Linked DNA regions of Arabidopsis thaliana. The protein of the gene in region 1 interacts with the protein of each later gene in a pairwise test. Each region holds a gene or a part of one and is shown on either strand. Other genes may lie near its edges.

Evidence for each region. The genes of interacting proteins can lie anywhere in the genome.
Region 2: the proteins of TED4 (region 1) and HBP5 interact in a two-hybrid assay, tested with the Arabidopsis thaliana proteins (one study listed by BioGRID).

The regions. Positions count from the first base shown.
Region 1 is NC_003071.7:11,339,752-11,343,508, reverse strand, and holds the start of TED4 (Plant heme oxygenase (decyclizing) family protein), read right to left. Parts: upstream 1,962-3,757; 5' UTR 1,694-1,961; coding exon 1,270-1,693; intron 615-1,269; coding exon 391-614; intron 316-390; coding exon 115-315; 3' UTR 1-114. Other genes in the region: SPX2 (SPX domain-containing protein 2 (SPX2)), read right to left, coding at 2,806-3,251, 3,731-3,757. UniProt on the Arabidopsis thaliana protein: Key enzyme in the synthesis of the chromophore of the phytochrome family of plant photoreceptors. Catalyzes the opening of the heme ring to form the open-chain tetrapyrrole biliverdin IX with the release of iron and carbon monoxide (CO).
Region 2 is NC_003076.8:6,799,235-6,802,991, forward strand, and holds the start of HBP5 (SOUL heme-binding family protein), read right to left. Parts: upstream 1,744-3,757; 5' UTR 1,659-1,743; coding exon 1,278-1,658; intron 1,199-1,277; coding exon 1,061-1,198; intron 985-1,060; coding exon 916-984; intron 834-915; coding exon 762-833; intron 677-761; coding exon 594-676; intron 493-593; coding exon 358-492; intron 260-357; coding exon 46-259; intron 1-45. Other genes in the region: SPX1 (SPX domain-containing protein 1), read left to right, coding at 3,195-3,464, 3,546-3,672.

The DNA of each region.
Region 1 (3,757 bases):
AGAAGAGTTTAATACATGTAGAAGATGATTAATATAATACAGGAATATAAACAATGTGCATCATTTTAGTTGCCACAAGACGTATTGAGATATCTAGAGACACTGCGCACCAAATCAGGACAATATGAGACGAAGTATCTCACCAGAATACTTGAACGATTTCTCAGTCTCTTCCAAACAATGATTCTTTTCTTCTCTAGTCCACTCCTCTGCAACCTTGTTCAGTTTCTCCCTAACGTTCTGCAACAATTGAGAAAGTTCGCCGTCCCATTTGTAGAACTCGAGTTCTTTATTATCGAGTATCCGCTCTGCCACCTGCAAAATATGGTGTGCTTTCAGAAAAAATTCAAAGCTAATTTTCCAAATGGTTTTAGTGCACAAAGTTTTTACCTTTCTGCCAATCATTCGTCCACCAGCACTATGAGCAAAGTAGATGTTGTAGAAGTGACAAATGAATGCTTGAGGATCCTTCTCTGCTAATTCCTTTAAATATTGAGAATATGTTTTACCAGGAGCTGTTGGTTCTGGAATCTCGTAACCTTGTTCCTTGAACCACTCCAAATCCGTGGATAATTTCTCCGCTCTTTCCAGCCCCGTGTTCTTGAACTCGGCATCTATATAAAAAACAGTATGCAGAATTAGATCATGAGATGATTACACAAGAAAAAAAGACCTACTTTTGCATAAAGATCTTTTTCCAATACATAAGCAAACTCAGTTTTTAATTACGAGCTAATCAAGAATAAGAGATAACGTTAAGATTGAAAGTCCAAAACTCCGGTAACATTCAGTTAGATTTCACAAGTTGTACATATAATCAACCTTAAATCCACCATTCATACAAAACACCACAACCAACAACTCAATCCAAGAGTAAATAACTGAGTTGTCAAAAAACTCTGAACGATTCAAATCCAAAACAACATAAGAAATGAGGCAAAGGAATGATTTTTATCAAATGGGTAGATACTAAGATTAAATCACTTCAACCTATTAATAGATTACCATCCTAAGAGTACTTCAATTCATATCAAACCATCACTATAAGTCTATAACCAACTCAATCCAATAGTTACAAAAACCTAAGTAGCCAATAGAATCTGAATGAATCAAAATCCAGACATGATAAGAAATGAAGCAAAGGAACCATCTTTATCAAAAGGGTAGATACTACTAAGATCTAAAAACACTCCAAATCACTTCAAATTTTTCTAAAGATTACCAATCAACCCATAACAAGAAGATAAGAAGGAGAAAAAAAAAACTCACAAGTTGGGAAATTGGAGTCTTGAATAATCAGTTCAAGAGTATCATAAACCAATTTACTATCCACAAGAAACCTCAAGTAACCTTCAACAGTAGGTTCCCATTTAGCAACAGGACGTTCCTCAATAGATTTAGTCTCTTTCTCACCTTCCTTAGCTTGATCTTTAGTATGAAGTCTCATAGCCACAAACCTCATCTCCTCCACAAAACCCTTTGATTCTCCAGGATACCTCTTCTTCTGCTTCTCTGCCGCAGTAGTAGCCGCAACCACCACTAAAGACGGCGACTTGTTCATGGTCATACTCAGAATCTGAATCCTAGGTCGAAGGAAAAGTGGGTTCGGTGAGGAAGAAGAAAATTGGAATCTTGAGAGTTGGGGATTCTTGAATATGGATAAGGATGAAGAAATCGGAGCTAAATACGCCATGGTTTGATCGGAATAGAAAAATGGTTACAGAAGAAGTCACGCAATGTAGTTTTAGTTGGCTTGAAGGAATAGAGAAGAGGGATACACTATTCTAATTGAATTTTTAAATAGGCGAAAATATTAATAAAACAGAATATTGTTTAGTTGTTTCCAAATGAAGATAACGATGAGAGGGTGAATGAAGTTTTTGGACAAGGAGCTTTTATTTCGGGTCTATGTAATATCGACAGTGCGTTGAGTGTTGCACATGTCTGAATGTCTGTAGGAGTTGAAAGTCGAGGAGATTTAGAGCCGATTCAGTGACAGTTATATTTTTAATAGTATGGGTCAAAAAGAAAAAGTAATAACTTCTAGTCTTTTTTAGTTAAAATATATAAAAAAGTGAATTAAATATTTCTTGAAAGAATTAATTAGTTATAAAATAAGAAAATTGGTGATCTCAAAAAGTATTGTTATAATAGTAAAAAAAAAAAAAAAAAAAATGGTGATTTTTGAAGTACACAAAATTAGGATTTCTGGTTCGTTTGTTTTGCCCACTGCCCAGCCATAGTTTGATCAATAAGTGACGTAGATGATTTACTGAGTGGCCGCACTTAGGGACGCAAAGCGTAGTCTAAAATTTGTCGAAGCCTTATCTAAGCCCACATAAAAAAGGCCCATATATTACAAAGCCCATATAAAAGGGCCGAACAAGAAGCAGCTATACAATCTTGCAACATTCACAGAAGTCAGAACAGTTTCCTCTGCAACATATTTGATTCTTTGTGATTGAATGAGCTGCCCTTAAATTGGACCAAATATCACCTAGTTAGGAGTACAGAGACCGATTGACCCACAGATGCTAAAATGCAATACATAAGATTTCGAAATGGCGTATGTATTTCATTGTTCTCTCTGCTTGAAAGTGGTGTTACAGTCTTACAGAAGATTTTTCATACATGATATGCAGCAAAAGAAAAAGTACACGCAACCAAGTTTAAATGTTGAAAGATGATCACACTTCTATGTTTTATTTGATTCATCTTTTACAGCTGTAAGCGTATACAATTACTTGTACTATTTAAAGAAAGTACAAAAAAAAAGAGAGATTTAAAAATAATAATACTCATAATTCATTTCGCTACTTGTTCAAGGACACCAACTTTCTTCTTCCATGAATCATCTTCTAATCCACTTGCCGGTAACGGTGGCAACGAGAAGACGCTAACTGTTGAGCTACCACTGCGGATTTCCTTTAATACTTTTAATGCCGACACAGTGCTCTTCATATACAAGCTCTCCATGTACTCAATCTCAGACAGTTCTTTTGGTACTCTAAGAAGTTCAGAATCGTCCGTTCCTGTCTTGACCATTCCAGAAGTTGTCGGCTCTCCTTCTTCATCCAGATTCCGACTTTTGTTAGACGGAAAGAGGCGGTCCAGCATAGCCTCGCACTCTTTCACAAATGTGTTGAGTAGGTCAGTTGTGAAGAAAGGTTCTTGCAAAACCTTTTGGATAAATGGTAAACGGATTAAAGCACCGGTTCTTTTGTCATACTTTTTGAGAATCTTTGCCAATCCTGTAAACCAATAGAACACAATTCTACACATTTAGCGAATAAGAATAAAGGCATAAACCTCAAGTTATTTATAAGAAAAAAGTATAAAGAAAGCATCTGCGATGAGTGGCCAGTTAAACAAATTACAGCATATTCCTTCATGTGGGCACATTTCTATTTAACAAGTAACACAAAGATCGTGGAGAATATGACTCTTAACATAGACGTAATGTTAATACTAACTCAAGTTCCCTACTAATCAATCTTTCACAAAACTTCTAAAAATATTGCCCATTGACACGGTTTCACTTACTAGGAAATGCTAAAAACTAGAGCTTGACCTTGTAAACGAGTTTTAACATCTAAAAACTATCAATTGTCCAACATGTGAGCTTGTTCTGTTTACTCAACGTCGGCTTTCGGGCTACGAATGATTAGAACATATGAGAAAAGAACGAAAAACAATAACCATGGAGATGACATGAGAAAGAAAAGTTTACCTGTATAGTTAAGAGCACTATAATTCA
Region 2 (3,757 bases), on another chromosome or scaffold:
GGTTTCTAACTAGACATCAAATATTGCTAAAGCTTGGAATCATACCATTATGAAGTTCCATGTTCGTCCTGGATCGTTGTAACGAGCAAGCATACAACCTTTCTTAGCTCTCAGACCATCTTTACTCAGACTGCTCCTCAGTTCATTCTCTTTTGCTTGGACAACATCCTCTGTCGGTTTACCACTGAATTTCACTGCTGCAGCAAAACCGCCTTCCAACTTCTTCAAATTTACCTTTTCTTCATTAGGCATTGGTAAGCTAGAGGAAAAAGGAAAGCAAAACCATTCTCATCACACAATGATTCTCATTAACCATATCTGATGTCAACTAAAAAACTATCCATGATAAGGCTTTACCTGCTAAGATCTTTTCCTGATGGAATAACAATTTGTACAGAGACATCAGAAGAGAGTTGAGTATCTGTTGTTTGAGTAAACACTGGAGTTGTCATTGGTATTTTCTCCATGGTCGAGTTCTTTCCAAATATGTAGCTTCATAGGTAAAAAAGCTAGCATGTGTTACATTTATCAAAATAAAACAAGATGCCAGAAGAATTTATGGACACTCACAGAAACTTAGACTTAACCCTCACCCAGCAACATTGTTGAAACCTGAAGAACCAGAAAGCTTGTCACCAATTGTCTCCACCACAATGAAGGGCTCATAGTTTCTAACCTGCCAAACAATCAAATCCAACTTAAGGCAAGCAACCACATTTGCATAGTTGGTTCCATTAAGCCAATACATGAAGATATGTGACCTCATAGTTTGCTGTTCTTTTCAGTATTTGATACTTTGGAGTTTCCAAGTCTGGCGTTTTATATATCCGTAACTGCAAAAAAAGGTAGTACTTGTAAGATATGATTAACCATTTCTAAGGGGGCTCAATTCATGCCAAATGCCAAGAAAGCAACCTGCTTAAAAACATCAACAAGACCTTCAAGAGAAAAGTAGTCATTGTTCTTGATAGAATCCCACAAGTCCTGCACAACATCTACTTGTAATAAGTAGACCATACCACAATAGATTTTGGAAGAAGGACATGGCAACCATACATACCAGATGACTACAAAATTTGTTAGTTTCAGGATTAACTTCCATGATTGATAATCCAGTGAAGACAAGTTCTGGTTTCCATGGTAAAGGTATGAACTTCATCACCATTGTCCATCTCGTAGTGATCTCATATGGACCTGTCTATATATCAGCTGCATCAGTGAACTTAAAAAAAACTAGAATTAAAGAAATCAAATGATAAACAAAAGTTAGCAAAGACCTGTTTAGCCCAGTGAAGCTGAAACTGAGGAGTGAAGATATTCTTGAGGAAAGCAATGTTGAAGAGATAGCCAGAGATGGTGTCGTGCTTAGTGATTGGGTCTCTGAACTTCACGCGCTCATCGTACGCCGTTTTATCGATTCCTTGGTCGTCGAAAAGGTGAGGAAGATCCTCGTACAAGAATCCGACGAGCTCTTCCATGTTCACTGTCGACGGTGCTGAAGCCACTTCCTTGCCCACCTCAAGACTCAAAATTGGCCGTAGACGAGTGGTTACGTTGCGTCTCGGAACAGGGAGGAAACGGGTGGTTACATGCCGCCGGCAGTCACTTCCGACGGCGGTGAGTATTGGCCGGTAAAGCTGCTGATTAACGGTAGCCATTGATCGTTGATAAAAAAGTTTTCTGCTCTATTTTATTTCTTGTGGTTGTTCGCTTTCATTTAACAATCGGTTCTTTTTTGGTACTGTCGGTTCGGTTTGGTTCTGGTTTTATTTACGAACCAAACTAAATTTGTTTCGGTTAAAATTCAGATTTTTTTTTCACTCTTTAGGCTTTTTTCATTATGGAACTTTGACTTAACGAGGCCCATTCCATTTGGGCTACTGGAGGGAACTTAACTCCAACAATGGATTACTTTGCTTGCATACATTAATTACATACGTACCCAGAAATGAGACAGAGACACGAAAGTTTCGATTATACGGCAAAGTAAATATTGTTTTAGTTTATCCGTCAAAGATTGTAAAGAATACGACGACCATGTCATAAGGATTTGGACTTTGGTTGTTTGACTAATAAACTGATAGTCTTCTTAATAAATATAAATTGACAAGTTGTAAAATCAGCAGAATTTGCTGCATATAGACAATGTCAAATGGACCGGTGGTTTATCCTAAATGTCAAAATCAGAAGCTAATAATGAGCAAATGTGAATGAATTAAGACGCGAATCGGGAAAATTCAATAAATTGTCCATTGGGGGGTGCTTTAAAGAAAGATTGAAAGATGCCGAGGTTTATACCCTTTTCCTATCAAGAATATTCCATGGAATCCAACTACTTTTGACCCATTTGCGTATTTGTTAAATCTTTTCAGAAAATCAAAAGTGGGTAAATTGTCAAACTAGTTGTAGTATTGAACTACTATTTATTGATCATGCCATCATCATGGAGAGACAGATATGATCATGAAGACCAAACGTCCACGTATTTATGTCATGACGACAATCTGAGCTGGATTTGAGGATATCTGTAACTGTAAATACTATATCCAATATTCATTTTTTTTACTTTGCAATTCGTTTTTGATTAAATCTAAAAATGCAAAAAAAATAAAAAATCACTACTACATAGTGTATCTGCATGTATAAATAGACATATATTTTTAAAAAGATGATTTAATACATACTGTACATAGTTATGAAGATATCATGAACATATATAGACAATACCAAATAAGGAAATCTAATATCGTAAAATATTTAAATATCAGATGAATACAGTACAAACTCTAAAGAAAATGAATCAAGATATTAGTACGATACCCATACGAATTTAGAAAAAAATGAATCAGATAAATGGATATAAAATCTGTAATATTATTTTTCTTTTTTTGGACAGCAAATCTGTAATAATAAGTATTGGATAAATAAATTGGCATGTGAGTTGTGATTGATATTTATGAACTGACATAGGCATGTGTTATAATCTCACCCACAGATAACCACGAAAAAGTAATAAATAAGAAAGGAATAAAAGGAAGATATTCTCCCGAAAGAAAGACAGAGAAAAAAGGATATTCTAATTAGAAACCTTAAGAATATTCTTTTTAATCCCTTTTATATCTCTAAACCTCTTCCCCCTCTCTTTCTTCTTCATTCATCATTCTCACTTAAGTTTCCCAGAAAATAAAAGAGCTATGAAGTTTGGTAAGAGTCTCAGCAATCAGATCGAGCAAACTCTTCCTGAATGGCAAGACAAGTTCTTGTCTTACAAAGAACTCAAAAAACGACTCAAACTCATCGGTTCCAAAACCGCCGATCGTCCCGTTAAACGACTCCGTTTAGATGAGTTTTCCGTCGGAATATCGAAAGAAGAGATCAATTTCATCCAATTGTTAGAAGACGAGTTGGAGAAATTCAACAATTTCTTCGTTGAGAAGGAAGAAGAATATATCATCAGACTAAAGGTAATATAAACAACATTTCGAATCCGATTCCTAAAAATGATCATCTCTTTTTCTAATGTGTCTCTGTCTGTACAAAAACAGGAATTTAGAGATAGAATTGCGAAAGCTAAGGATTCAATGGAGAAGATGATAAAAATCAGGAAGGAGATTGTTGATTTCCATGGAGAAATGGTTCTTCTTGAGAATTACAGTGCTCTTAATTACACTGGTAATTTAATTTAATTGCCTCATTAAGACTTAATCTTATTATTAGTAGTAGAACAAAACGTTGATGAATGGTTTGTTGAAACAAC